6 linked regions of the Ovis aries genome follow. The protein of the gene in region 2 interacts with the protein of the main gene of each other region in a pairwise test. Links are inferred from orthologs where the notes say so. Each region holds a gene or a part of one and is shown on either strand. Other genes may lie near its edges. The genes, in order: TIMMDC1, FATE1, SYNGR1, INPP5K, KASH5 and MARCHF5.

Region 1 (4,441 bases), on a different chromosome or scaffold from region 2:
GAATGAAATAGTAGCTTTTCCCATTTATTTTAGGTTGGTCTGTGCTGCCCACTGCATCATGAGCTTTCTCACTCAGTGGTCTTTAATAGATAGTACAGGCCCATCTGAGCATGACATAAAAATTAAATATTCAGAAAGATAAAATTTTGGTATTTTTTTTACATATAGGTATTCATTCTTGCATATATTGTCCTAAAATCCCATAAGTTTTTATAATTTCCAAAAGTTACCTAAAAATTCAAAAAGGTAATTGTTAATTTCTGCATCCAGTTTACAAATTCTTTCTGTTTCCAGGGATATAGTAGAGCTGTAAGAGTCATCAAATGAAATAACCCTTTAAAAAAACTTTTTATTGCAGTATAAATAAAATATGCACCTAGAAAAATGTACATAAGTATACCTGTCAGTGACTTTTCACTAAGCATAGGTCTGTATCCAGCCCTGAGAGACTGTTAACAGTGTCCCAGAAGCTCCCCCTTGTGCCCCTTCTCTGTCCTTGCCCCTGCCTTCCCAAGAATACCTACTAATCTAACTTCTGAAAGCATAGGTTAGTTTTAACTGAGATTTGAGCCACTTGCAATATAATTATTTAATTCATCAGAAGATTTAATTGGTTCTGTCCATCATGAAAAACTTAAGTCCTATTTAGCATTTGGGATAATTCTGATCATACTGTCTTTTGGAGAGCAGTATCCATAAACTAATCCCAAACAACATTGTCTTTTTGATGTTTTAGTGAACAGCAGAGAACTTCAAAAGAACTTCAGGATATTTACAAGGCAGCAGCTTCAGCAGGCATCATTGGCTGGGCATATGGGGGAATACCAGCATTTATTCATGCTAAACAGCGCTACATTGAGCAGAGCCAAGCAGAAGTTTACCACAACCAGCTTGATGCTGTGGTACGTACTGGTGTTCTAATAGTATTTGGGGGCATGCCAATTGGGAGCCTGGTGGGCTGCCGTCTATGGGGTCGCACAGAGTTGGACATGACTGAAGCAACTTAGCAGCAGCAGCAGTTTTTGCTGCTCACTTTATACTTAATCATCTAGCTAGGTAGTAGGGTTGAGAAGATTTAGGAAACAAAGTCTACTCAGCAATAGTGGAAGTGCTAATGCTATAGTGCGTGCTCAAACTTTGTCAGACCACTTTTCTTACTAGAATTGATCACCACCGTGGCTCTACTTTCTGAAATATATTTCTAATCTCCTGCTAAATCATCAAGGTTCAGCTGTAGTGTATTTATCCTATTCACAAAGCCTATGTGCAGTACAGTAGCTCACACTAAAATAATCATTAACAATTAGAGCTTTACAGTTTGTTGAGTGCTGACTCATTTGTTGTATCTTACATCTGTATATCAGTTCTGTTGTCCTAGTGAGGAAGTTATGGCTCAGAATTTTTTGTTTTTTAAAATCTATGTTGTTGTTTTTTTTTAATTGTGTCAAGTTTTAAAAGTTGCAAAAGTAGTGCCAGTGTCCTGTAATGTCCAAGAGGGATTGGTTCCAGGACTCGTGTGGATACCAAAATCCACAAATGCTCGAGTCTTTTATTATTTTTAAAAAAACCATAGTACCATACGTCCTTCATATCCATGGTTCCACTTCCTCAGGTTCCAACTCTGGGGATACTGAGGGCTGACTGTACAAAGAATTCCTGTGCACCTTTCAGTCAGATTCCCCAAACATTAACATTTTACCACATTTGCTTTCTTATTCTCCCTGCATGAGGCATGCTGTTGTTTTATTGTGAACTGCTTGGGAGTATGTTTTAGGCATGGTGAGTGCTTCAGCATACATTTCCTAAAAAACAAAGACATTTTCTTACATAACCACAATATTATTATGCAGTTCAGGACATTAATACTGATAGAGTACTATTATCTTATCAATGGACTTTATGTAAATTTTGCTTATTGTCCCACTAACGTTATTTTTAAAGTAAACGAGTAATTAATTTTTTTTTCTGGTCCAGGATCTAGTACCGGATCAGATGTTGAATTTGCCTGTTGTGCCTCTCTAGTCAGTCTCCATTAATTTGGAACAGTTTTTCTATTGTTCTTTGACTTTCGTGACCTCAATATTTTTTAATACTTGGGCCTTTTATTTTGTATTGTAGAATGTCCCACAATTTGGACATTTGATGTTTTCTTGTGATTAAATTTCACTTAAGTGTTTTCACAGGAATACCCTACAGTTAATACTATATCCTTCCCAGTAAGTAATGATAAGAAGCATGAGATACCTATTTGTCCCTCAACTGGGGATACTTACTTTAATCACTTAAGATGGTCCCTGCCATGTTTATCCACTATAAAATTATTGAGTTTTTCCCTTTGTGGTTAATAAATATCTTAGAAATACTTATTAGATACTTTGAGACTATGCAAATATCCTATTTTTCATCAATTTTTCACCCTCTGGTTTCAGTATTCAGTGCTGATTCTTTCCTAAAATAGTTATTACTGTGGTGGTAACCAAATGGCCATTTTCTAATTCCATCATCCATGTATATTTATTGGTTAGTATTCTGCTGTAAGGAAGAGCTTTCACTTTCCCTCTATTTATCTGTCCATTTATCCATTTATAATTTATTCAGCGGGGACTTGTTGACTCTTATGTTATTCTATGGTTTTATAATCCATTATTACCATCATTTATTTTGATACTTGGCATCGATTTAGACTGTTGGAATCCCTTCAGGCTAGCTCCTGTGTCCTTTTGATGATGTCCCCGTTAGTCTTTGAGCACATCTTTACTTTGGAGCACAGCATGGTTTTTCTGGTTCATCTTTTCAAGCACCAGCCTTGTTTCTTTTAAAATGGTATTTAAATGACTCAGGGAACTTGGGGCTCTGTGACAATCTAGAAGAGTGGGATGGGGAAGGAGGTTTGGGAGGGAGGGGACATGGGTGTACCTATGGCTGATCTTGTTGATGTATGACAGAAAACCACAAAATTCTATAAAGCAATTATCCTTCAATTAAAAAAAAAATAAAGTGGCAAAAAGAAAACGGTATTTAAAAACCAAGATCTGGGGCTAGGCATGCTCATTGCTACTGAGGTATGATGGTGTCTAGGCAGATAGAGCTAGGAAATGTGTATGTATGTGTGTGATTTATATACGTTTTCATACATATATCTCTGTTTCTATATTTGTCTGCCTATTCAGTAAAAGCCATGAGTTTGCACTGATACCTTTCAAAGAGTATACCTGCCCAGTATCGTATAGTAGCTAAGACTACACCTAGGGATTCTGTCAGATTCTTTAAAAATCTAGGCTTTACCCTCACAATATTATGCCAGACTTGCTTCATGATGGTTAATGAAAATGAGCGGTGGACACAGACAACGTAACTTCCAATTCTGACTTTATTCTTTATTGGCTGAGTGATCTTGGTTAGAAACTTTCTCTTTATGCCTTTTAACACCTGCTTGAAGAAAATGTTGTAAAGATTAAATGAGGTAATATGTTAGCAACTTTTACGTAGAAGGTGGTCAGTAAAGATTAGGTTTTTTTTCTTCCTTTCTTCCTCTCATGCACATCTGTATTACTTTAATCCTTACTGTTTATAGTTTACTCAGTGTTCCTTCTTTATTTTCTGTTTTTTTCTTTTCCCCACAATTTCTTGAAAAAAAGCATGTCTAATACTGATTTTATGTCTGCTCATAGTATTTGCCATATGGATTCTTAGTTGCTATTTAACTGATGAATTACTTGGTTGACACTGCATTTCTTAGTTCCTTTTACACCCTGTGATAGAATAGAGTGCACATGGTGCATTTGCTTAAGTTTCAGTAATTGAAGAATGACATTTCTAGAGATTTTCTATTGTTTGTATCTATTTAGGTGTCCCTACCTATTTCCTAGCTGACATTCCTCCACCACAGTTTTAGAACATGGAAAGTATCAAGGTATCTCGGAACCTCACAGCCTTTTTGTTAACTTTAGCAATCTGCCCATCGTGCTGCTACACGAGGCTTCATCCGGTATGGCTGGCGCTGGAGTTGGAGAACGGCCGTGTTTGTGACTATATTCAAGTAAGTTCTCTGAATCGTCATGAAGGATTTTAGGTATTCTTTTAGGAGCACATTGTTTCAACAAATGGAGGTGTTAAATCTGAACACCCATATAAAAGTGATCTATGATACCTTTTTCTCAAGAACTGTTATCTATTTATGCAAAAGATTGGTCCAGCTGTAGTTTTGTGTCCATGGATGATGGTCTGCCAGGCTTCTCTGGTGGCACAGTGGTAAAGATTCCGCCTGCTGTTGCCGGAGATGTGGGTTTGATCCTTGGGTTGGGAAAATTCCCCTGGAGGAGGAGGAGGCAACCCATTGCAGTATTCTTGCCTGGAAAATTCCATGGACAGAAGGAGCCTGGAGAGGTATAGTCTGTAGGGTCGCAAAGTGTTAGACATGACTGAGCACCTTGTACAACTG
Region 2 (4,974 bases):
CTGATAAGTAAGCTACTTTTGCTGCAGATGCTGGCAATTTTAGAAACATGGTTGTTTTACTGTTGCAAAGGTTATAGGAGGTAGAGGGAAGGCAAATTGACTGGAGAGGCAGGAAGACCTGATGTTCTAGAAAATCAGCCGAGTTACATTTTGTTCCTCTGTAATGAATTTTTAAAATTATACTAACCATATGAGGGAATGTTGTAGAGAAAATGGTGGCCATGTTGTTGCATTCAGTTCAGTTCAGTTCAGTCGCTCAGTCGTGTCCGACTCTTTGTGACCCCATGAACCACAGCACGCCAGGCCTCCCTGTCCATCACCAACTCCTGAAGGTTACCCAAACTCATGTCCATTGAGTCAGTGATGCCATCCAACCATCCCATCCTCTATTGTCCCCTTCTCCTCCTGCCTTCAGTCTTTCGCAACATCAGGGTCTTTTCAAATGAGTCAGCTCTTCACATCAGGTGGCCAAAGTATTGGAGTTTCAGCTTTAGCATCAGTCCTTCCAAAGAACACCCAGGACTGATCTCCTTTAGGATGAACTGGTTGGATCTCCTTGCAGTCCAAGGGACTCTCAAGAGTCTTCTCCAACAGCACAGTTCAAAACCATCAATTCTTTGGCACTCAGCTTTCTTTAAAGTCCAGCTCTCACATCCATACATGACTACTGGAAAAACCATAGCTTTGACTAGACAGACCTTTGTTGACAAAGTAATGTCTCTGCTTTTTATTATGCTGTCTAGGTTGGTCATAACTTTCCTTCCAAGGAGTAAGCGTCTTTTAATTTCATGGCTGCAGTCACCATCTGCAGTGATTTTGGAGCCCCCCAAAATAAAGTCTGACACTGTTTCCACTGTTTCCCCATCTACTTGCCATGAAGTGATGGCACCAGATGCCATGATCTTAATTTTCTGAATGCTGGGCTTTAAGCCAACTTTTTCGCTCTCCTCTTTCACTTTCAAGAGGCTCTTTAGTTCTTCACTTTCTACCATATCTTCTTCACATGCATTAAATATGGGGAAAAGCCAGCCATTTTGAGGAGGAGGGAGACCTGATTGTTTCATGAAATCACTTAAGTCTAGTAGTTCTGTGGCTGATTCTGTTAGCTATATTCACCTTGGATGTGGGCAAGCTGCTTATGTTCTAACTTTGATGTAGAAGGTGGGGGCACTGAGAGGGGTTTAATTAATCTCTAGATTAATTATAGTTGCCTATTAGGACTAGAGGAATATACCTTTAAAAAATAGAGTCCTTATATTGATTGTAGAAATTAAATTTAGACACTTAGAATTAAATGTATAAATTCTATATATTTATTCATTATTTATTTTTGAGTAAAATGTTAATGAAATGCTATTGCCTCTGAGAGAACCACAACATGAAAGAAAAAAAAAATTCATAATACTACTCTGCTCATTTGGGAAAAATGATGTAGTGTGCCTTAAAAAATAAATGAAAATAAAAATAACATTTTTGGAAATAATTGACAGAGGGAGGCTGCACTTGCTGCAGTTCATAGATTTTAAAAATCCCCATCAAATGTAAATAAAAATCTGATGTTTTGAAATGTATATAACTCTAAGTAGAGAGTTTCTAAAATTAAAAAGAAAAGAAAGAAAAGACAACTCCTTTGGACAGTTAGACCTATCAAATGATTGGTGATCACAAGTTATCATCAGGCTTGCATATGTTGTTAAATTAATTCTTAAGATATTGATGTGTTAAATATAAAATATTTTACCTCAAACAAACAAACAAACAATACACCCTACTAACTCATCCTTATTTTGCCTTCAACTCTCTCAAAAAGCATTTTCTCATTCTGATCCCAATCTATAAGAAAATCAAGGGGGTATTGTGGAAATTTTTCTAGGAGAGACTCTCTATCTAATTCTTCTTTATAGTCCTGAAGTCTTCCTGACACACACTGTCCTTTTAATGCTGTTTTTGAGGTATCTTACTGCTTGCAATGCAGGAGACGTGGGTTTGATCCCTGGGTCAGGAAGATCGCCTGGAGTAGGAAATTACAACTCACTCCTGAAGTCTTGCCTGGAGAGCCCCATGGCCAGAGGAGCCTGGTGGAGGTGGGGTGGTGGCAGGCAGCCAACCTGTGTGACTCCCAGGCTCTTCTGATTCTGGAGGATCAGGCTCCACGTGACTCCCAATGGGGTGTGCTGATGCTCCCAAAGTATGGGCCCAAGCAGGATACTTTGACTGATGGTTCCTTTCCCTAGGGGCTGCAGCTGCGGGGAGTTGGAGTGGTGGGAGAACAAGGCGATGGTGGTGCCCGACCCCAGGAGAATCCTGGCGGCTCCCAGGGCATGAGGTCCCAGTATGAGCGGTAAGAAGGATCCCATGGACCCTGCGGGAGAGAAAGGACAGGGCTTTTGGGGCAGGGACCCAGGGAGTTGGCAAGCAGACTGCCCAAGAGGGAGCAGTGAACAGCTGGCCATGCTTGGAGTATGGGGACTCTGTTGCCTCCTCACCACAGCCATAGAGCCCCCTGGCCCCTTGCCTGTTCAGGGCCTCCTAGCATCCCACAGCAGGGCCAGCTCCCAGCCCTCAGGCTTCAGGACCTGTGACCAGAGAAGGGGAGAGCTCCAGGCAGACAGACTCATGGTCCAGAGAAGTCCACAACCTTACCCATCTGCCTTTATGGCTCTCCTGGGACCACCAGAGGCTCTGACTCTCTGTGTTTAACTCTCTGTGCAGCCGAGAGTTAAATACACTGGCTGAGATTGGTCTGGAAGAGCTCAATGAGCTGGAGATGGAGATCATGAGAAGACAGGTGAGTGTCTGATTGTCAGGGACCCACTTGAAGGTGGGAGGCAGAATCATGGTGAATGGGTGGGTGGGGCCACCCACCTTGAGGATACCCAGCCTCTCCAATCATATTCATCTGCTAGCAGTGGAGGCGAAATCAGGCTTGCTTCCCCATTCACCCAGCCTTCTTGTCTCCAGTGTCCTATCTTGAGGCCTAGGCTCAACCCCATCTTTATGCCTGACATGTGGGAAGGGAGAAGGGAGGAGAAGAGGAGGAAGAGGGGACATCAGAGGATAAGAGAAGTTTATTCATAGAGAGTGATGCCAAGAGGACTGAGCCAGGGGTCATGTTCATTCAGGCCAAGTTCAGGTCTCCTTGGTTTGAGACCCCAGCAGGCATGGGCATGGGCAGGAAGGATGTCTTCCCTGGTGGCCCTCTCTGGCCTTGCATGTCACCCCATCCTGAGGCCCTTACTCTGGTGCTGCTGCACCCCATCCCCTTCCCTGGCAGCTGGGATGGGCTGGCTTCTTCCAGACAATGGGAAGAACTGGTGATGGTGGAGGCAAGGTGGCAGGGACTGAGAACACAGACAGCCCAGTCTCTGGGTTACACTGGGCCCATCCCCAGCCCTGGTCAGCTGCTCTGCCTGCTTCTTGCCCAGAGGCCCTTTTCCTCCCAAAGCACAGCAGAGGCCCTCCTTGGTCTAAAGTCATATTTTACCCCCATTGGTGTGCTGTGGACTTCCCTAGAAGAGCCTTGTTCACCAGCTAGCTCTGGTCTCTCTGCAGCTGTTCATGATTACTGAGCGTCTGCGCTACCTGGAGGACCAGAGTGCCACCTGGCACCAACGGGAGGTGCTGTTATTCACCATGCTGCTGTCTTCCTGCATCGCCAACCTATGGCTGTGGATGCGCCAGTGATGTTTCCTGCCGGTCCGCCGTGCAGCTAGAGCCCTTCAGTCCTCCCTTTCTTCCCTTCTCTCCCTCAGCCACCTCTGCCATCCTCCTTCTAACTTTCAGCAGCCTTCAACAGTATCGCCACCATTTTCCACCTCTGCCCGAGGGAGGCCCTAGCTGCTGGGAGGTGGAGGAAGTGTAGAATCGCGAAGGTCAGAATGGACTGAGATCCAGCCTCTTTGCAGGGAGAGGATGGTGGTTTCCAGTCCCCACAGTAACAGCAGTGGTAGGTGCTTCCTCCTTCCCTGTCAGGGCTCCATGGTGACCATCTTGGAGCTAGACCTTGCCTCTGGGCCCTCAGTGTCTCTTCTGTTCCATCCTTGGCAGGGGCTTGGCTGTGTCTTCCCTGTTTTCTTCAAGGTTGTGCTCAGGGCTCTGCACACAGAATATTCTCAATAAAAGTTCAGTTATAGCAGCAAACCCTGGTGACTGAATTTCTTGCATCCAGGACTCGCATGGGGACAGCCCCTCTGGACAAAATCCTTGGTTCCTCCTTCCCAGGCTCCTCCTGCCTCTCCATTGCCTGCCCAGTTGGGGAAGGCACTCCTTAGGGGCAGAGTTAGGCAAAGCCCTTCCTGTGGGACTTCCACCAGCAAATGCTTATGGGGACATAGTTTTGCAGCAGCAGCTTGTCCTAGTTGGACATTACAGGGACTCATTCAGAGAAATCTCCTGGATAGGACCACAAACTTTTCCATTTGCTCAGGAGAAATTGAGGCCCAAAGAAGGGAAACATGGCCCTGGGGTCACCTGAGACAGCCCTAGGGTCTAGGGCTTGGCCTTCCTCCAACAGATCGATTGGGGACCAGCCCCAACTCAGCTTCGGAGGCCGGATGGGAGATCACATAGAGGGACTTTGAACCCTTCTCCTCTGTGTCCACAGCTCTGAAATGTTCTCATAGAGGACAGTGTGCTGAGTATGGTACTGGGACTTGGCCTAAGAGGGCAGGAGTGTCACTGCTTCGGGCCTGGCCTCAGGGCCAATGTGCTGGGGGCCAGGAGGCCATCAAAAGAACTGCTGCCCTTTCTCTGGGACCAAGGGTTAAATACACATTTCTCCGCGGGCAAGGACCTGGATCATTACATTGTTATTGGCTTTAGTGGCTCAACAGAGCTTATCCCAGCCCCCAAGTCAGTCAAGGCTTCTCCATCTCTAAAGATGAGAGAGTGTGCTAGTCACTAGATATAAAATAAACATGATGGCATGTGCGTGTGTGTGTGTATGAGAGAGAGAGAGAGAGAGAGAGAGAGAGA
Region 3 (5,125 bases), on a different chromosome or scaffold from region 2:
CTGTTTACTGAGCACCTACTGTCACAACAGACTGTGGAAAATTCTTAAAGAGATGGGAATACTAGACCACCTTACCTGACTCCTGAGAAATCTGTATGCAGGTCAAGAAGTAAGAGTTAGAACTGGACATGGAACAACAGACTGGTTCCAAATCAGGAAAGGAGTACGTCAAGGCTGTATATTGTCACCCTGCTTATTTAACTTATATGCACAGTACATCATGCAAAATGCCAGGCTGGAGGAAGCACAAGCTGAACTCAAGATTGCCAGGAGAAATATCAATAACCTCAGATACGCAGATGATACCACCCTTATGGCAGAAAGCGAAGAACAACCAAAGAGTCTCTTGATAGTGAGAGAGGAGAGTGAAAAAGTTGGCTTAAAGCTCAACATTCAGAAAACGAAGATCATGGCATCCGGTCCCATCACTTCATGGCAAATAGATGGGGAAACAATGGAAACAGTGACAGACCTTAATTTCTTGGGCTTCAAAATCACTGCAGATGGTGACTGCAGCCATGAGGTTAAAAGATGCTTGCTCCTTGGAAAAAAAGCTATGACCAACCTAGACAGCATATTAAAAAGCAGAGACATTACTTTGCCAACAAAGGTCCATCTAGTCAAAACTATGGTTTTTCCAGTGGTCATGTATGAATATGAGAGTTGGACTATAAAGAAAGCTGACCACTGAAGAATTGATGCTTTTGAACTGTGGTGTTGGAGAAGCCTCTTGAGAGTCCTTTGGACTGCAAGGAGATCCAACCAGTCCATCCTAAAGGAAATCAGTCCTGAATGTTCATTGGAAGGACTGATGCTGAAGCTGAAACTCCAATATTTGGCCACCTGATGCGAAGAACTGACTCCTTGGTAAAGACCCTGATGCTGGGAAAGATTGAGGGCAGGAGGAGAAGGGGACGACAGAGGATGAGATGGCTGGATGGCATCACCTATGCGATGGACAAGAGTTTGAACAGGCTCTAGGAGTTGGTGATGGACAGGGAGGCCTGGTGTGCTGCAGTCCATGGGGTCGCAAAGAGTCAGACAGGACTGAGTGACTGAACTGTGTGCCAGGCCCTTGGTTACAGCAGTGAACAAAGTAGACAAAATCCACACACTAGCAGAGGAAGACGATGAACAAATAATACTAATTACTGGAAGCACAGTATGATGGTGGGCTGGCATTCCTGCATGCCCAGTTCTGTCCCACACTTTGCAACCCCATGGGCTGTAGACCGCCAGGCTCCTGCGTCCATGGAATTTCCCCCGAAAGAATACTGGCGCGAGTTACCTTTCCTCCTCTAGAGGATCTTCCTGGCCCAAGGATTGAACCATCATCTCCTGAAATGCCAGGCAGATAATTTACCACTGAGCTACCTGGGAAGCCTGCTGGTAGGGTGGGGGTAGGCAGGACCTCTCCCAAAGAATTTATTGTCCTTCTTCCGCCTTTGTTTCTGAGCCAAGTATCGCTGACCCCTCCAGGCTGGGAGTGGAGGACACATAGGATTTGAGCAGTGAGCGTAAAAGCAAGGTGGAAGGCTAGGAGGTTGGGCAGGGGGTGGGGAGCTGTGCTTCAGAAGGCTCTCGAGAGAAAGGTTATTCATTCACGGTTCATTCATTCGAAAAGTCTTCCTGCGGCACCTCCTGTGTCCCAAGCACCCCATAAAGAGGACAAAGGCGGTCCCTCCTCGCTCATTATATTGGGGGCAAGACAGATCGCCAGGAAACCAGCAAACAAGTAAGGAAGGTGGTTTCATCCCAGAGCCGCGTAGGCTCGGAGGGGGCAGTGATGGTCGCAGGGCGGCCCGGTCCTGGGGGGCGGCGACAAGCCCTGCATTTGCTGCACACACACACCCCCTCCTCGTCCCCCCGCCCCCTCTACTTAGCAAAGAGGTCACCAAGCCGGCGACGAGCGCGCCCTCCGCCCGGACCGCAGAACCCGCGCCCGCCCGGCTCCCTCCGCGCACAGCGCCCCCTCGCGGGAGCCCTCGACCACGCGGGTGGCGCGAGCCGGGGAGGGGGCGGGGGCGCCGCGCACGCGCACGGGCCGGCGGCGCGCGCCGAACGGGGGGCACCGCGCGGGTGCAGCCACGATGGAAGGGGGTGCGTACGGAGCTGGCAAAGCCGGGGGCGCCTTCGACCCCTACACCCTGGTCCGGCAGCCTCACACCATCCTGCGCGTCGTTTCCTGGGTAAGGACGGCCGGGTGGCCCGGCCGGACTCGGGGTGGGGAGCCGGGGTGGGAGGTGCGGGCAAGGGCCGAGCGCCGGGACGGACGCCAACTACCCCCGGGGCACCGGGGGACCCGGGCGCGGCCGCTGGTGGGGAGCCGTCCGCCCGGGGTTCTGACGCCCGCCCCTCTTTCCTTCCCGAGCCCCCGGACAGGGGTGCCCAGCGCTCGCGGAGGCTTTCCTGCTCCCCCACCCCTGGCTTCCCGGTGACCCTACTACTTGCTCTCCCCCGCGTCGCGGTGACCTCCAGGCCGCGACCAGCCACCTCACGGCTCGGGCTGCGTGCGGCCGCTTGGGCGGACTGGCGACCGTGGGGACCAAACCCTGGTTTCAGGTGGCTTTTTTTTTTTTTTTGAGGGGGGGTGTGTGTCGGTGAATCACCAGGTGGCCTTGTTTTTGAGAGTGGGGGGGTGAATCAGGGCGTGGATCGTCTCGTGGGGGTGCACGCGCGCTTGCCATGGACGTTCAAGGAGGAGAGGGCAGGAAACCGGGCTTTTGTGGCTTAACCTGGACAGTGTGGAGCGACGCGGCGGGAGCCGGATTCCTGGCTTCCACTGGGAACTGCCTTTCCCGCAGCGTGACCTTGGGCTGGAAGCCACTGGAGAAATGTTCCTGGGAAACAAGTAGTTAAATTCTGAGATGGGCAGCGTCACCTCCTCTGGCTTGCCTCAGTTTCCCTATTTGTGGCCAGATGGGAGGAGCCTCCTTGAGACCTCCTTGGGCTGGGGACAAGCCCTGAACACACCTGGATGCCCCAGCAGTGGGGCGTGGGAGCCGGAGAAAGGACCCCTGCCCACAGAGAAGGGCAGAGAGGCCCGAACTTGACCTCCAGCCTGGTGAGGGCAGAATACCCCAGTGCAGAGAGCTGAGTGGGGGGGTCCCTGTTCAAAGCTGGGGTTGAGGAGAGGATGGGACAGAACCAGCACACGGCGAAGGGTTCACATGGCCTGGGAGGCACCCCCAGGGAAGGGAGGCCTGCCCCTCTCTGGAAAGGGGTATCTGGGGCTCCCTCGGGTTGCCCAGGCCCACTCACTAGAGGGTCTTGCCTCTGCAGGCCTGGGGCCCCTGCCTGTGGGCCTATGTTAGAAGTGCCCGCACTGGGGACACTGGGCAGGGGCCCTACCAGCCACCCCAGGGGGTGCACCTGAAGCCCGCTGAGGCCAAGGCATGCTCAAGCTCCCTCACTTCCTGGATTTTCAGGGCCACATTAGCGTGTGATGGGTGGGACCGTTGGGTGTTTATCTCTGGCCTCCCAGAGGAAAAGGGAGCTATTTACCTTTGCTTTGTCTTAAAACGTTCAAACCTGCCTCTGGTGCCTCAGGAAGCATCGTGGCAACATTTACACTCCAGGCTTCTCAAGTGCCCCCCAGATGGGGAGCTCTCTGGGGGCAGGGAAGCCCGGTGATGGCCCACGGCCAGGCACCCCAGGGGTACATCTTGGAAGGTTTGTGGTGCCAGGTTCATTCATCCGTGTCGTCTCCAGCTCCGCAGAGACCCTGGCAAATCCTCGGCAACAGTGCAGCTCTGGGGGACACCTGCCTGACCAGGTGGGCCGGCTCTGTGCTCTGCTTCCCTCACCTGGCCTCTGGGCCGCTGGCCTGGGAGGGTGAAGTCACCGGCTTTGTGAGGGGGTGTGGGCGTTTTGTCTGCCTGGGTCACTTCTGCTGGTGATGGCTTCATTTAGCGAAGCTTTATTGAGTCGGCTAGGCCCAGAGGGAAGGTGGCATGACTCAGACACATCCCTTTAGTGCCAGGGAGCCTCCGGTCCTGCCGGGGAGTGAGCCAGGCACCCCCAGGCAGAGAGGCTGGGAGCGCTCGGGGAGGAATCAGAGAAGCTTCCTGGAGAAGGTGATGTCAAATTGGGCCTGGAAGAATGAGGAGGGTTGACAGGCGTGCACATCCATGCACAGGGAGGACCTTCCAAGCCGAAGACAGAAAAAGTCACTACGCACCTATTGTGTGCAGGACTGCACTCACGATTGCTCACCTATTTCCCCTGGAGACGCACTTGAGGCATCTGAGGTTCAGAGAGGCCCAGGGTTACTGAGCATCGTGGTGGCAAACGAAGAGGATTTGAACTCAAACCTTCCTGTCTCCAAAGCACAGTGCTTTCCCTGGATCAGGAAGCATTTGGAATCCTGAGATCTCAGATTGGGGAAGGATAAGGGTCATCTGGGTCCACAGCCCCCATCCAATACCCCAAAGGCCCCCACAGCCTCCCAGCCCTGCTCACTACCTTTACATGAGCAGAGGTGTCTGATACAGGCTGATTGACACTTTTAAAAATGTACATAGGTTTTTTTTCCTAGTCATTAGAAGTAATACCTGCCAATAAACAGAGAACACAAGTCACTTGTGATGATTGTACAATGATATATACATACTTAGCACCACTGATCTGTACACTTAAAAATGGTTAAGGTGGTAAATTTTACGTTATGTGTGTGTGTGCTCAGTGGTGCCCGACTCTTCGTGACCCCATGGACTGCAGCCTAGCATGGCTTCTCTGTCCAAAGGGTTTTCCAGGCAAGGTTATTGGAGTTGCCATTTTCTATTCCAATGTTGTATGTATCTTACCACAAAAAAAAGGAAGAAAAAGCCCATGTGATCCCACCTCATAAGAAGGGCCTCTGTCTCCTTCCAGTCTTTCTCAAAAACACATGGTGTCCTGAGACATTTTAACATGCTGGGGTCATGTCGTGGACACATGTGCCGACCTGTCCTTTGCCCTCGGGTTCCTTCTGCTCCCCACAGAGTCTGGCAGGTCTTAAGCTTCACCTTTGAGCTAGTGGAGTCTGAGCATCCATCACCGATTTTCCCTGGTTTGCCAGAACTTTCCTGCCTTCTACACAGGAAGTCCCATATCCTGGGAGCAGCCCTGTCCCAGACAGACAAGA
Region 4 (4,441 bases), on a different chromosome or scaffold from region 2:
TGAAAAAGGGATTGACTGAATTGAAAAGAGGGGGTGAAATGAATCTTGGCACTCTGTCCAGGCCAGTGCCCCGCATAGCTGCCTTCCCTCCTCTGGGGGGCCTAGTGTCCCTGGGACGGCAGGTAGGTGAGCTGGGCTGTGCGGAGGTGAGTGTCTGCTGACCCTGGGAGATCCCGCAGGAACTGAGACCATCTGCCCTCAGGCCCCGGATGGGAAAACAGAGGTGTGTCCCCCCACTTCCTGCCCACCTACCAGGGGAACAAAGGGGGTGTCAACATCTTTCTGAAGCTTTACGGCTACTATGTCAGCATCATCAACTGCCACCTGCCCCCCCACATGGCCAACAATGACCAGCGGCTGGAGCACTTTGACCGGATCCTGGAGATGCAGAATTTTGAGGCACAAGATACCCCCAACATCCTGGACCATGAGTGAGCGTGCTGCTGTGAACCGTGCCCGACCCTCTCCCCAGGCCAGCCCCGGCAAGCCTGCTCTGCCCGGTCACTGCTTCCCTGCCAGAGTCAGTCTGCCCCCATCTCCCGCCCTCTCGCAGCCTCTTTCCTGATGCCCTGTCTACTCTCCTCTCCAGCTCTGCCTGCCTGGGGTCTGGGACCCCTTCCCTTTGCCTGGCCCCTCTGTCCTGCCTAGAAACTCTGGATGCTTCCCCCAGGTCAAGAACCTTGTGGTTCCTAGGTCCCCGGGAAGGGCTGGTTCTCAGGTGTGCCTTGTGGGGTACCTGGTGCCGGGTACCCAGCTGGGGGACAGGGAGGGAGGGCTAGAGCCTGCTCCATATTTGCCACTTGCCTCTCAGGGCTGGTCCCTTTGGCTTGAATGGCTGGTGGGGCCAGGAGAACAGGCCCTTTGGAGCCCACCCTTGTCTTCACCTGATCCTCTCTCAGCCTCTGGCTTTTGACCCGCCCCTCGAGCCTCCTGCTCGAGCCTTGCAGCGAGCGGTCAGAGCCCCTGTGGCCTCCTGCCTGCTCTGACCCCATCACAGACCCTCAGGCCGCCTGCCTTCCTTTCTTTCTGAAGCCTCATTCTCTGGTTTGGAGACATGAACTTTCGGATCGAGGACTTCGGGTTGCACTTTGTTCGAGAATCCATAAAAAATCAGCGCTACAGTGACCTGTGGGAGAAGGATCAGGTATCTGAGAGTGGAGATCTGAGCCCAAGAGAGGAGAGTTCTGAGCCCAAGGGCAGGGAGGTCAGCAGGAGGTGTGGGGAGGTTCCCTAGCGCCCGTTCTCCTTTCCCAAGCCTTCAAAAGTCCCTGACCCCAGGCAGGGCAGAGTCTAATAGAATAGGCCTTGGTTGCTGGGAGCGGGGCAGCCAGGCTTGTCTGGCCAGCCTGGTCTCCACCTGGAGGCGCTCCAGCACCAGGTGTGTGTGAGGTCAGGGAGCGAGAAGGGCTTTGGCCTGCCCTGCACCAGCCCTGAATGTCCCTGTGGTCTCTCCCACTCCCAACCTGTCTTGCCTCCTGGAGGGTGAGATGCCACCCACTGGGACATCTGCCTACTCCAGCCTCCCCTCTGATACACTTCTGCTAGTAGCCCCTAGGGAAATAGAATTCATAGCCTGGTCCCTGTGGTTCAAGGACTGGAAAGTGCCAGGCGGTTCCCTCCCCTGGGACTACGGGGTGAGAGTGAGGGGGTGATGTTTGCGTTCGCATTCAGCTGCTGTCCTGGGGGTGGGGTACAGGGCTGGGGCAGTGAGGAGCAGTCTGACTGGGAGGGTACCGCCAGGTTTGAATCTTGCCCCACTGTGACGGCAAGTGCTGATCCCTTTTCCTCCAGCTCAGCATCGCCAAGAGACACGACCCACTGCTGCGGGAATTCCAGGAAGGCTCCCTGCTCTTCCCACCCACCTACAAGTTTGATAAAAACTCCAACAACTATGACACCAGGTGAGAGGGCCCCACCGGGAGAGGATGTGCCTGTCACAGATCTGGGCCTGGAAAGTCAGACCATGCTGGCCCTTGTGATCATGGGAGCCACCTTCAGTTAGAAGTGTCAGGGGAGCAGGACTAGATCCAGCCATCACCTCTCAGGAGTGGTACCTCCGTACCCCTGATGAGAGGCTGCCTGTGGGAGCTGTCCCAGGAGGGAGCAGGATGGGGAGCTGGTGCTGGCCAGAATAGGGGCTGGGGCCGGGGCAGGTAGAACCAAAGGGGAGGGAAGACAGCTGATTGCTGACGGCAGGGCAGGGGAGATCGGGGAGGGACTGTACTTCAGCATCCTTCAGACTCCTGCCCTTCTGCCCCCACAGTGTTTCTGGTCCTGCCCAGATGATGGTGGGGACAGAAAGCTTGGCTCAGCCAGCCACTGGTGTTAAGTAGTCCTGCCGTGGCTGTGAGTGGGTTGAGTACTAGTTAAGGAAGATGAAGTAGGAGTTGTCAGTGGGGCAGTTAATGGGGAACAATGCAGAGATAGGGCACCTGGTTAGAAATTAGAAGCACAGTTTGTGCTTTATCGGCAGAATGACCTTGGTCATGGTATTTAAGCCTCAATTTTTCCATCTATAAAATGGGGATGATAACAGTACCTATTTCATGGGACTGAGGATTCATTGAGACCACCAAAGGACTTCCATGGTGGTCCCGTAGCTAAGACTCCTGGCTCCCAAAGCAGGGGGTGCAGTTTTGATCCCTGGTTAGATCCCACGTGCTGCAACTAAGACCCAGGGCAGCCAAGTAAATGAATATTTAAAAAGAAATAAATAAGACCCGGCATGTTAGCCTAGTGCCTGGCACCCGGTAGGCACCATGATAACTGCTGTTGTTGTTTTTAGATTCAGGTCTTCAGGTAGGAGTTTTACTGAAAGCCTTTCTAAAGAACTGAGAAAGGGATAGGTAACCACTAAAACCTTAGACTTAGGCAGTGGGGCAAAAGTAGCTCGGACCCAAAGCCCCTGACCCGATTTAGGGCAGGGACCCTCATCTCTTTGAAGAATAATAACCCCCTACATGTTATGGGGCTCTTTGTATTCCCCTAGCAGAATTGTCTTCTGAGGGAGATAGGAGGTGCCCCCAGGGCAGCCCAGTCCTCTGGGATTTAGGCGGTAAGTAGATCTGTCCACAGCCAGGCCAGGATGAGAGGGGCCCTGCTGGCCCAGGGCCGGAAGCCATGTGGCAGAGCCACAATGTCCCCACCAAGCGATGAGGAGAGCGTGAGCCATTTGAGGCGTGTGGAGCAAGACAGAGTGGGGTCACAGCCACGGGTAGTGCACACAAGAAGAGGCCACAGACACTGGAACCGAGGGCCAGCCTGGGCCGCAGCACAAGCCAGAAAGTAGGGAAGAGGGCAGGGTCCCACTGGCCTACAGGCCCAGGTCCGCGACTGCCCGTCTCCCTGGCCACCCATTGGAAATGAGGATCATCGTGGAAATTGTCAGGCCTCTGTGGGACAAGCCGAGATCCTCTACCAGGTGACACTTGCCCGCAGGAAGAGAGCTGCTAACAGGCCACGTGGCCAGGCATCACTCTGCTTATAACCCCGGGTTCGGGAGGGAAGCCTCAGGAGCCTGGAAGTCACGCAGGCGGTGTAGAGAGGCTCAGAGACGTTCACGATCTTCCCCAGGTGGCTGTGCTCGTGATAGTGGAGCCGGGGCTAGACCTCTCCAGACTGTGTTGCCCATGAGGCTTTCCTCTAGCCCGCAGTGCCTCCAAGTTCACAGCCAATCTTTTTTTTTTTTTTTTGATGAATTGTATTTATTTTTAATGTGTATTTATTTTTTGGCTGTGCCACACAACATGTAGGGTCTTAGTTTCCCAACCAGGGATCCAACCCATACCCCCTGCATTGGAAGCGTGGAGTCCTAACCATTGGGCCACCAGGGAAGTCCGCACAGCCAGTCTTGCCAGCTAGCAGCAGAAAGGAGGTCAGGGCTAGGATAGCAAAACGCTTGCCAAGGAGAAGGCAGGTGCTATTTCTATGTGATAGATACAATCCACACTGTGACTGACATCGCTGAGTGCTGACCACGGGCCAGGCTTTGGGCAGAGGGCTTTGCCCGCATCACTTCACTTGATTCCTACTGTATCTTCGTTGGGTAGACAGTGTTGATACTGACTTCTTACAAATAAGGAAACAGTATCTCAGAAGGTCTAAGTAAGGTAGTAACAGAGTAAGTGATGCAAAAATTTGAACTGAGGTCTGTGAATCCAGACTCATGCTTCCCTTGCCTGGAGCCCAGGAAATGAAGGAATGTCTGGGCAGGAACAACGGCATTACAGGGGGACATCACGACTGAAACATCCCAGCTCTAGTGCCTGTGGTTGGCAGGGGCCCCACATAGGGAACAGAAACGTTCCTGTGTGATCAGTCTGTTATTCATCCTTGAAAACCTGGTGGAGGCATCATCTCTGCTGGGAAATCTCCCTTGGCCCCTGCCAGTTTCGCTAAGAGCTCTCCTGCTGTTATGCTGCCTGCAAGCCTTGCACATAGT
Region 5 (4,441 bases), on a different chromosome or scaffold from region 2:
TATATATATATACACACACACACGTAATTTTAAGTTTTGTTAGTAGCCACATTGAATTAAAAAGAAAAACAGACAAAATGGATGGCAATCATAGTATTATTGAACCTAATACATCTAAAACAGTGTCCTTTCAGCATACAATCAATGTAAAAATGTACTGAAGTTACTCTCTTTTTTTATAAGTTTTCAGCATCTGGCATGTACTTTACACTGACATGAGTGTGTGCATGCTTAGTCACTTCAGTTGTGTCTAACTCTTTGCAGCCCTATGGACTGTAGCCCGTCAGGCTCTTCTGTCCGTGGGATTCTCCAGACTAGAATACTGTAGTGGGTTGCCATGCCCCCCTCCAGGGGATCTTCCTGACCCAGGAATCGAACCCACATCTCCTGTGTCCCCTGCATTGCAGGCGGATTCTTTACCCACTGAGCCACCTGGGAAGCCACTTTATACCAATAGAGCATCTCATCTCACTCTCACCACTGTTCAGATCTCAAGAATCACTGTGGCTGTCGGCTGTCCTGCTGATCATGCTGCTAGGGAGCAATACCTGACATATAATAGGAACCCAGTTACTAACTTTTGAATGATCAGTTGGACACAGACCAAATGGGTGTGAAAGTGGCTTCAGGAGGAAGATGTTGGGTTGTCCTTTCTGAAACTCATCTACTAAACAGTGAGAGAGCCAAGGGAGACTCCCACCCTAGAGGAGAGACAGGGCCCCTTTCTTAGAGGCTCTTAGCATCTAGCCTCAAAGCCGGTGTCTTCTCTCTGGCCTCAGGAGGCTTGCCAGATAGGAAGGCAGGAGGCAGACACCTGGGCAGGCTGACCAAGTGACCAGCATCTGAACGTGTAAACTTCATGTGCACCAGCAGAGGGCGTGCGGCCGCCGAGGAACTTGTGGCCGCGCTTTGGGAGACTCCCAGAGAAAAGGGAGGGACACACCCAGGAGAGATGGAGACTGAGGAAAGCAGGAGATGGAAAGAGAGAGAGTGACAGTGGAGGAAGGAGAGAGAAGCCTTGGAGAGTCGCTGAGTTACGGGAGAAGCAGCACAGAGACGAGAAGATGGGGGTGGAGGACGTGGAGACAGGCAGGTGGGACTTGAGGGCCAAAGAGATAGGGAGGAGAGTGGAAAGAGTCGGAGACAAAACTGGAGAAAGGACAGGACAGACAGAGAGGTAGAGACACTGAGGAAGGAAAGAGAACAGGAGAGAAGCAGAGTGACTTCTTCCTGAGGGGCCCCGGGAGGCTGAGGGTCGCATCTGCGCTGTAGATCCATGCAGCTCCTCAGATCCCACGACATCTGGAGCCAGGCAGTCCTGGGTGACCTCACTGGGCCACAGGGTCCTCCTGTATAATGTAGGGGGGCACCACGTCTCCCCTAACTGTAGGTCCTGCTCCCTTTCCTTAGAAGCCGAAGTTCAAACCCGAAGGGGCTAAATTTTTAGCTCAGTACAGAGAACCCTTGAAGAGTTAGTGCGATGAGAAATGGCAATCAGATGTTGAACATGTGACCTTGGGCAAGTTTCCCACTTGTCTGTGCCTAAGTATCCTGGTTTGTAATCATAGCAGCCACTGTGGTTCATGTCAAATGCTCAGAAGAGGCGTGGCTCCTAGTAAATGCTGAATAAATGTGCAGTTTTATTATCGAGCTTCCAGATTTTATTAATATCTTATCTCCTCTCTAGGAGGGAATTAGCCCCCACTCACCCACCCACGCATTTTCCATAGGAAGAAACTGAGGCTTAGAGAGACTGAGTCCCTTGCCCAGGTTGCACTTGAGTCTGCCAGACCTTGCAGCCTGCACTCTGCTACACCCATCTGTTCAGGGGCAGGGCAGGAGCTTCAGCGGTCACTTCCAGCCCCTGGAGAGATCCAGTGGGTCCAGGGGTGGAGAATGTGTAGGCTCCTTCTATATCTTGGAGCATTTTTTGAGTGCTGCTTTGTGTGGGCACAGTGGATACAGCAGCAGACAGACCCCAGGATGTTCACATTGTGCGGAGGTGGGAAGCAGGAAGTGCTCTTCACTTACACAGACCTCACCCTCCCAGCCCCAGGGAGGGGGAGGATCACTCTATCCACCCATTTTACTGGTGGGAAAACTGAGGCTCCAAAAGGCAAAGAGACTTGCCCACAGTCCTGCAGCTGGAACTCTGAGGTCGGAACCGCACCACCACTCACCCTGGCTGGATTGTCCCATCCCCCTTTGTTTCAGGCCCCAGCCCGTGGGCGCTGATGATGCCAGCCAGCCTCAGGGATGTGGGGAGGAGAGACCCAGCCCTGAGGCAGGCTGAGAGACCGGAGATGCTGAGGGCAGGCGGGATCGATCCAGGCTGCCCGCGCGATATTGGATTGTTCCTGGTTCCTGGGCCCCCTTCACCCTCCGCTTCTCCCAGAATCCTCTCTTCTTCATCCTCCTCTGTCCCTCGCCCCCTCTAAGCCAGGGAAGAGAGGGGAAAAGGCTATAAGAGGGTTTGTTCAGTATTGTGGGCTCCTGAGCCGGTTGGACACAAGGGATTAGACAGCGGGGGCGGGGGGGGGCACTTCCTGGCCTGAAGGATGAGGGGGGCCCACATTCCCAAATCGGGGGATGGGGAAGGTGACTCGAGGACCCTCACCTTGTGGCCCCCACCAGCCCAAACCCCAGGCAGCTTGGAATGAATTCCCTCCCCTCTGCAGGAGCCCCTCTTTGTTCTTCATCGTCCCCCTCCCCACAGATGGGCTGGCCCTCTTGTCTCCTCAGTGTACCTCTGGGACCAGGCAGAGGACGGGAGCCTGGGGACACTGCTCAGCTTAGAGGAGCAAATACTCAACTCCACGTTCGAAGCTTGTGACCCCCAGAGAACAGGTCAGAGGGTCAAGGAATAATAAGGAACGAAGCTGGGGGGCTGAGAACTGGGGGGCCACAGACAGAGGGATGGGCTGGGGTGATGTGGTTGACTGGGAAGCTTCAGGAAGGAAATGGATAGGGGATGGTGAGGGGAGGAAACCTGGGGGAGGAGGGTAAGCAGAGGAAGGCGGGGCTTTGGAGCCTGGGGGAGGGGGAAAGGGCAGCCACTGTGGGCCTAGTGGGGCTCAGCTGGTCCTCTTTGGTCCAGCTCTGAGGTGCAGATGACTGGGCCCCGTTTCCAGGTGAAAACGTTGACTCGGGGGAAGAAGAAGGAGTTGCCCAAAGGCCACGGTGCAGGGGTGCCACCAGCCCAGCCCGTGGTCCCCACCCCTCTCCTTATCCTGACGCAGCCTCCCTCACAGCCTCTCTGTCCCCAGGCACTGTGGCTGTGACCCATCTGCTAGCCTACCTGGAGGCCGTGACTGGACAGGGTCCCCAGGATGCTCGCCTCCAAACACTGGCCTGCAGCCTGGACCCCAATGGGGAGGGCCCTCAGGCCACTGTGGACTTGGACACCTTCCTGGTGGTCATGCGGGACTGGATCACTGCCTGTCAGCTGGATGGGTGGGTCCCCGCACCTCCATCCCCCACCCCAGCCCCCTCAGAAAACCTTTCTTAAGACCTAAGCTCATACCTGCTTACTGCAGCCAGCACGCTTTGGGCACAGGGACCTGCTGTGGTTGGAAGGAGGCTGAGAAGAGAGGAGAGTAGAGATGAGGTTGGGGTGAGGGAAGGGTCTGAGGGCAGAAATGAAAGGGGCTGGAGAGTGGAGAAGGGGGATGTTGAGAGGCTGACAGAGGCCCCTCCCCACCCCTCCAAGCACAGGCTTTGCCCCTCCTGCTTTTCCATCTGGCCCCAGGCGCTTGCCATCTGGCCTCACCTTCCTCCCCACGGTGCTTGCTCTCACCTGACCTGGCCCCCTCCCATCACCCGCAACCCCCTGTCGGAGGCTGGTCAGGATTGGGGGGGGTTGGCTGCAGGGGCCCTAAGCCTCATCCCTTTGATACAGGGGATTAGAGCTGGAAGAGGAGACGGCCTTCGAGGGAGCCCTGACCTCCCAGCAACTGCCATCTGGTGAGATCGCTATATATAGAATGAAGCAGGCAGGCCTAGGGTCAGACAGTGGGGGGGACTTCCCATGGGGGCAGAGCAGGGGATAGGGCCAGACCCCAGAGACATTTGTTCTAACCTAGCTTTCTAGGCACCTGCATGACTGCCTCCCCACATGCCCTGAGCTTTGGGGTTTGCATTTTTCCCCTCAACGGTTGTTTTCAACTCCTCCTCCTGACACCAGCCGTATCACGGAGGTCTCTCCCACCTCTTACCAGCATCACCCTTCCCTGCACTCTACTTCCTGCATCCTCTGTCCCTTTGGTCTTGCCCCACCTCCCGCCTGGCCTGGGCTCAGGCTGTTTTCTCAGCCTAAACTTCCCATGTCTTCCCTCCTCCTTCACTCGGGGTAGGGAAGCCCTGGTGGGGAAAGCCTGGGATGCTGCAAGTGAAGGTCCCTTTCTCTCCAGCATCCTCAGCACAGTTCTGCATCCCTTCCCTG
Region 6 (4,884 bases), on a different chromosome or scaffold from region 2:
TGTAAGTCATAAAATTAAATGGAGTCTGCTCTAACCTATGCAATCAATATGCTAGAATAAAATTGTTTTTTGAGCAGAATGTATGTATCCATCTCCTTCTGGCTGACAATTGCTTTAACAGATAAACACACGGTAAGAGAAGACTTACCCAGTAGGAGTAGTAATAAATAGGAATTTAAAATCTCAAATGCCTTAATAAATTACTTATTTCCCTCCCCTGTCATGGGCCTGCTTCTCATTTCATGAGAAAAGGGTAAAGCATTAATTATAATTAGTCACGTAAATTCCCAAAGTCTTTCATAAAAGCATCTTTCAGAAATCAGAGGCCAAATAACTTCTGGTCACATGTTATTTTTATTTTTCTTCCTGGCGATGTACACTCTAGTTCAAATATATTCAGGAAGCAGACTGTAAGCAAGAAATTAGAGCTGATTGCAAAATTCTGCGTAAAAATTAAAAGAACTTTAAAAACACATTTTAATGTAAAGAAAAATCAAACATCTTGCGGCAGAAATTAGGCATCGTCAGGAGAAAACTACCAAACGTTCTACCAATCACAGCACTAGAGAACGCCACAGGTCGTCCAAAAGACTCCTTCCTTTTAGCCAACAGTTTTTCCTCCCGCCAAAGCTGTCCCTAGAGCATCAGAGAATAACTTCAACGAGCGATTTATGATTTTTTCCTTTTGATCTCTCCTCCACACACATCCACCTGCTTGGAGGTGTCAAGGCGACTAGAAATGGTTAACACTGACCAGCAGCAGACAGAGAAACAAACACCCCTGACAACCCACAGCTGAGTAAGCAAGAGCTGTTTATTCACGACCATGTTCCATTTGGAGACTATTGGCAAGCCCTTGAAAGCCCAGGCACATTTTAGAAGGTTCCTAGAGAGGGAGGGAATAATCTCCCCTCGACACACACACACACACGCACGCACACACACACACACACACACACACACACACACCCCACCCCTCTCCCCCCGCCCTGAGAAACATACACTGAGAGGTTCGGGTGGGAACCTTCTGGTCAAGGCAGCCCCTGCCCTTCCGACCCCTCAGGAATAACCTCACGCACTAGAGCATCCGACCCCTTGCAGGGGTTGTGTAACTCCCCAAAATGGGCTCAGACGCCGCAGAGGCTGGCCCCAGCGCTGAGGGCTTCCGAAGACGCTTTCTGCCACCCCCACCCCCTCCATGGCCCACCCCGACGCCGCGGCCGGGACTGGAGACCCTGCCGAGAAATGGCCCTTTAGATCCCACCCCTCACCTGGCTCGGTCCCACCTGAGCACCAGAGCTGAGAGAAAACAGGCAGGGAGAGCTGACCTTGATGCTACTGACAGTGGAGCGGCACATCCTGCTGCTTCCTGGAAAGCGGCCCGCAGGACATTTTTCCCCCTGGAGGAAGGAAACGGGAGGGCGCCGGCCGGGCGGCGGCGGGCGCGGCGGCGGTGGTCCGGGCGGGCTGTGCAGCCTCTAGCGGGGACGGTCCGAGGACTACATCTCCCAGGCTGCTCTGGGCCGCCTTGCGTCGTGACCCCAGCGCGCACGGAGGCGGTGACTCTTACCTCACAGAGGTAGCTCCTCCGCCGGCAGCAACTCGGCGCCCGCGGTCCATGGACCGGAACCCCGGGCCGACGGGCAGGAACCCCGGCCGCGATTGCCGTCTCCCCGCCCTAGGCTCCTCCTCCTCGCTCCCCACTGCCTCCTCCGGACGCCCGCGGGCCGCGCACCGCCACCGCCGGGCTCGCGGAGCCGCCCCGGGAGGCTGGGTGGCGGGTTCGCGGCTGCCGCCGGACTGAGGCCTACTCCGCCGCCTCTCAGTGCTATTGTCCTGGGCCCGGCCCTGACCGGGCTCACCGGAGAGGCGAGTGCGCCGGCTCCGCCGAAGATGCCGGACCAAGCCCTACAGCAGATGCTGGACAGGTACGGGCAGCCTTTGGGGAGGACGCGAGCAGCTGATCCTCGTTCCGGCCCTGCCGCGCCCGGCCTCGGGGCTCTTCGGAGCGGAGCCCAGCATGCCGGGAGGAGTTCTACGGCCTGGGGGCCGGGCGAGGGGCCGAAAGTTTGGAGTCAGTACTTGCGGGAGGACGGAGCGGGCGGCCTGGATGCGTAGACTTAAAGCGAAACTTAGTTAAGGAGTGGCGTCTAGCTTCGTCGGAACGCCTTTGCGAAGTGAGAGGGGCTTCTATGAACCCAGAGAATTAGTTTCTTTTTCTCACTCTTCTCCTCCCCTCCCCCCAAACGGTGTTGTAACGTGTTTGCCCGAGATGTCACTGGCGAGAAGAGCCAAACTAATTTTCTGAGGAATGATCCTCCTCCAATTTTAACTCTTTCCAAAAGCCGAGGAAAAATAAGCATTCGTTTGGAAAGCTTCATGGGCAAACTTCATTCTTCCTTCCTCCGCATCCCCAACCCCAAACTATAAGACCAAGAGTATCCGCAAGGGACTTTAACGGTCAGACCAGAGTAGAGGTTATGGGAAACACAGAAATCCAACCCTGAACATTTCGTGTATTTTACCATGCGTTAAGTTCCCTGAGAAAGTTTCATCTTGTCATGCGGCAAGTTCCTGGGGGCGGGGGAGGGGGAGGGGGAGGGTCCGGTCGGTAAAACTTTATGTGAAATCGGCTGCAGAGCCCTCTGCTGTTGAAATTCTAGTCTCTGGGTTCTACCACGAGTTTCTGGAGACCCTTACTCCGCATTTTCCACTAAGGACATAACTTCCTGGCAACGCCAATGCTATTGGGTAATGTATGTTTTCGTTGCCTACAACTCTCAGTAGACCACTCGCTACCCACTTCAGCGTGTGATATAGCTCTATACTGAGAACAAATCCAACTGGAAAGTGTTAAATGAAGAGGCTCCCTTAAATGAAATTATACCCAATGAAATTATGCTTGGATCACACCCAGAACACAAATCACTCAAGAGTACCTCTTCTTTCAAAGTGACAGACATTTCCTTTGGAGCTTAGAATTTTGGGACGTCTGCCGCTGCTGCTGCTAAGTCGCTTCAGTCGTGTATGACTGTGCGACCCCATAGACGGCAGCCCACCAGGCTCCCCCATCCTTGGGATTCTCCAGGCAAGAACACGAGTGGGTTGCCATTTCCTTCTCCAGTGCATGAAAGTGGAAAGTGAAAGTGAAGTCGCTCAGTCGTGTCCGACTCTGCGACCCCCTCGACTGTAGCCTACCAGGCTCCCCCGTCTAGAAATCATGGTACTGACTTTTTTTTCAGTTGGGGTGACCCAGTGATTAATCCAACCCTTGTTCTAGGAGAGCATTCAGATCAAGTTGTATTGACTACTCCCTTTTTATATAAGTAGTTTACAAGCTCCTGAAAGGCAGAAGTCATTATTTCAAATTCTACAACCCCCTGTACAAAGCAAGTCATCAGTAAATACTTTTATGAACAAATGCATGAACTTTTTTGTCTTTCTCACCAGTTCTGTAGTGGTCTAATAATTTACCATACTGGCAAGTTACATAGGACAACTGAAATATGCCCACAGGAGACCATTTTCTGCCACTGCCAATTCCAATCAAAGACCCTATTTTGGTGCTGGGTATTTTGTAATTAATTTTTACCCCCTCTGAGGGCCTGCTGCTTTCCACTTATATGTAGTTGACTTTTGTGTCCAAAAGCTGATCTGGCTTTGGAGATTTCCATAAAAGTAAAAAACCCAAGGAGTGCCAGCAAGACATTTACAGTTGGTCTCAACAGAAACTTGGAAATTCTGGCTGCATATACTGAAACAGGTGACTGTAATACTGGCTTCCCTCATCTTCTCTTTTTGACATATCTCTTTAAGATGATATTCAAAGATCATTTTGCAGCCTGGCCCCCTGTTGGAATCACCTGAGGAGTATTTTAACATATGGATAGATGCCTGACTGTACCCACGACCAATTAGTTCACAGATTTCTGGAGAATAGGGCCTGAGCATGGGTATTTTTAAAAGCTTTTCAGATGTTTGTTGTGGTTGAAAATCACTTTTAAAGGGTTTGTTTGTTTGTTTGTTTTTGGTAGTGCCACATGGCTCGAGGGATCTTAGTTCCCCAACTAGGGATTGAATCTGGGCCTCCTGCAGTGGAAGCAGAGTTCTAACCACTGGACCACCAGGGAATTCCCACTACCCTAAACCCTAAGTGATTGTTTCATGATAAGGGATAGTACTTTTTAGTGAGGTAAGCTTGGACAGAAATCTTGAAATTCTCTTTTTGCCACTTACCGGCTATATGACTTTGGATTTAAATTCTGAGGTTCTACATCATCTTTAAAAAATGATAATGTCCTACTTTACAGGACTGTATAAATGAGAACAAGTATAAGTACTTTGTTGTTGTTCTTGTACAGGCTCTCTGTTGTGTTTTATACAACAATAAAATGCCATTCGTATGTTAGGCACACAGAAGGTACTTAAGATCCTGGTATAACCGGGATTTCCCTGGTGGTGCAGTGATTGGGAGTTTGCCTTCCAGCGCAGGGGACGTGTGTATGATCTCTGTTGGGGAAACTTAAGATCCCACATGCCACAGGACAAGGAAGCCTGAGTGCCGGAACTAGAGAGAAGCCTGTGTGCATTGTGCTAAGACCCAATCCAGCCAAATAAATTAATATTTTTAAAAAAAATTCTAATGTAACCAATCAATTAGCAATTTACACACACACACACACACACACACACACCCCTCCCTCATCTCCTTTCTATTTACTATCATCTTAATCTGGGCTAGCCCCCCTGCAAGTTGAACACAAAGATACTTGATGGGTTCATTTGAGGAATACTGACAAGTTCAAGAGACTAAAATATGTCAACCTGTTAGGACCCAGAATTCTTGCTTGAATTTGGCTCCCCCCTAGCTTGGTCTTTGGGTGG

What was found.
Region 1: the proteins of FATE1 (region 2) and TIMMDC1 interact in binary tests that used the Homo sapiens proteins (3 or more experiments, as listed by UniProt). The two-hybrid records come from large-scale screens. The link is inferred for Ovis aries from reciprocal best matches to the Homo sapiens genes FATE1 and TIMMDC1.
Region 3: the proteins of FATE1 (region 2) and SYNGR1 interact in binary tests that used the Homo sapiens proteins (3 or more experiments, as listed by UniProt). The two-hybrid records come from large-scale screens. The link is inferred for Ovis aries from reciprocal best matches to the Homo sapiens genes FATE1 and SYNGR1.
Region 4: the proteins of FATE1 (region 2) and INPP5K interact in binary tests that used the Homo sapiens proteins (3 or more experiments, as listed by UniProt). The link is inferred for Ovis aries from reciprocal best matches to the Homo sapiens genes FATE1 and INPP5K.
Region 5: the proteins of FATE1 (region 2) and KASH5 interact in binary tests that used the Homo sapiens proteins (3 or more experiments, as listed by UniProt). The two-hybrid records come from large-scale screens. The link is inferred for Ovis aries from reciprocal best matches to the Homo sapiens genes FATE1 and KASH5.
Region 6: the proteins of FATE1 (region 2) and MARCHF5 interact in binary tests that used the Homo sapiens proteins (3 or more experiments, as listed by UniProt). The two-hybrid records come from large-scale screens. The link is inferred for Ovis aries from reciprocal best matches to the Homo sapiens genes FATE1 and MARCHF5.

The regions. Positions count from the first base shown.
Region 1 is NC_056054.1:185,153,200-185,157,640, forward strand, and holds part of TIMMDC1 (complex I assembly factor TIMMDC1, mitochondrial), read left to right. Parts: intron 1-736; coding exon 737-902; intron 903-3,950; coding exon 3,951-4,039; intron 4,040-4,441.
Region 2 is NC_056080.1:84,011,328-84,016,301, reverse strand, and holds the end of FATE1 (fetal and adult testis-expressed transcript protein), read left to right. Parts: intron 1-2,234; coding exon 2,235-2,341; intron 2,342-2,712; coding exon 2,713-2,788; intron 2,789-3,552; coding exon 3,553-3,684; 3' UTR 3,685-4,140; downstream 4,141-4,974. UniProt on the Homo sapiens protein: Involved in the regulation of endoplasmic reticulum (ER)-mitochondria coupling. Negatively regulates the ER-mitochondria distance and Ca(2+) transfer from ER to mitochondria possibly implicating it in the regulation of apoptosis.
Region 3 is NC_056056.1:216,597,820-216,602,944, forward strand, and holds the start of SYNGR1 (synaptogyrin-1), read left to right. Parts: upstream 1-2,039; 5' UTR 2,040-2,090; coding exon 2,091-2,189; intron 2,190-5,125. UniProt on the Homo sapiens protein: May play a role in regulated exocytosis. Modulates the localization of synaptophysin/SYP into synaptic-like microvesicles and may therefore play a role in synaptic-like microvesicle formation and/or maturation.
Region 4 is NC_056064.1:22,525,892-22,530,332, reverse strand, and holds part of INPP5K (inositol polyphosphate 5-phosphatase K), read left to right. Parts: intron 1-255; coding exon 256-431; intron 432-1,032; coding exon 1,033-1,144; intron 1,145-1,791; coding exon 1,792-1,901; intron 1,902-4,441. UniProt on the Homo sapiens protein: Inositol 5-phosphatase which acts on inositol 1,4,5-trisphosphate, inositol 1,3,4,5-tetrakisphosphate, phosphatidylinositol 4,5-bisphosphate and phosphatidylinositol 3,4,5-trisphosphate.
Region 5 is NC_056067.1:55,593,968-55,598,408, forward strand, and holds part of KASH5 (protein KASH5), read left to right. Parts: intron 1-2,742; coding exon 2,743-2,847; intron 2,848-3,266; coding exon 3,267-3,453; intron 3,454-3,898; coding exon 3,899-3,963; intron 3,964-4,441. UniProt on the Homo sapiens protein: As a component of the LINC (LInker of Nucleoskeleton and Cytoskeleton) complex, involved in the connection between the nuclear lamina and the cytoskeleton.
Region 6 is NC_056075.1:13,570,923-13,575,806, forward strand, and holds the start of MARCHF5 (E3 ubiquitin-protein ligase MARCHF5), read left to right. Parts: upstream 1-1,568; 5' UTR 1,569-1,893; coding exon 1,894-1,928; intron 1,929-4,884. UniProt on the Homo sapiens protein: Mitochondrial E3 ubiquitin-protein ligase that plays a crucial role in the control of mitochondrial morphology by acting as a positive regulator of mitochondrial fission and as an important regulator of immune response.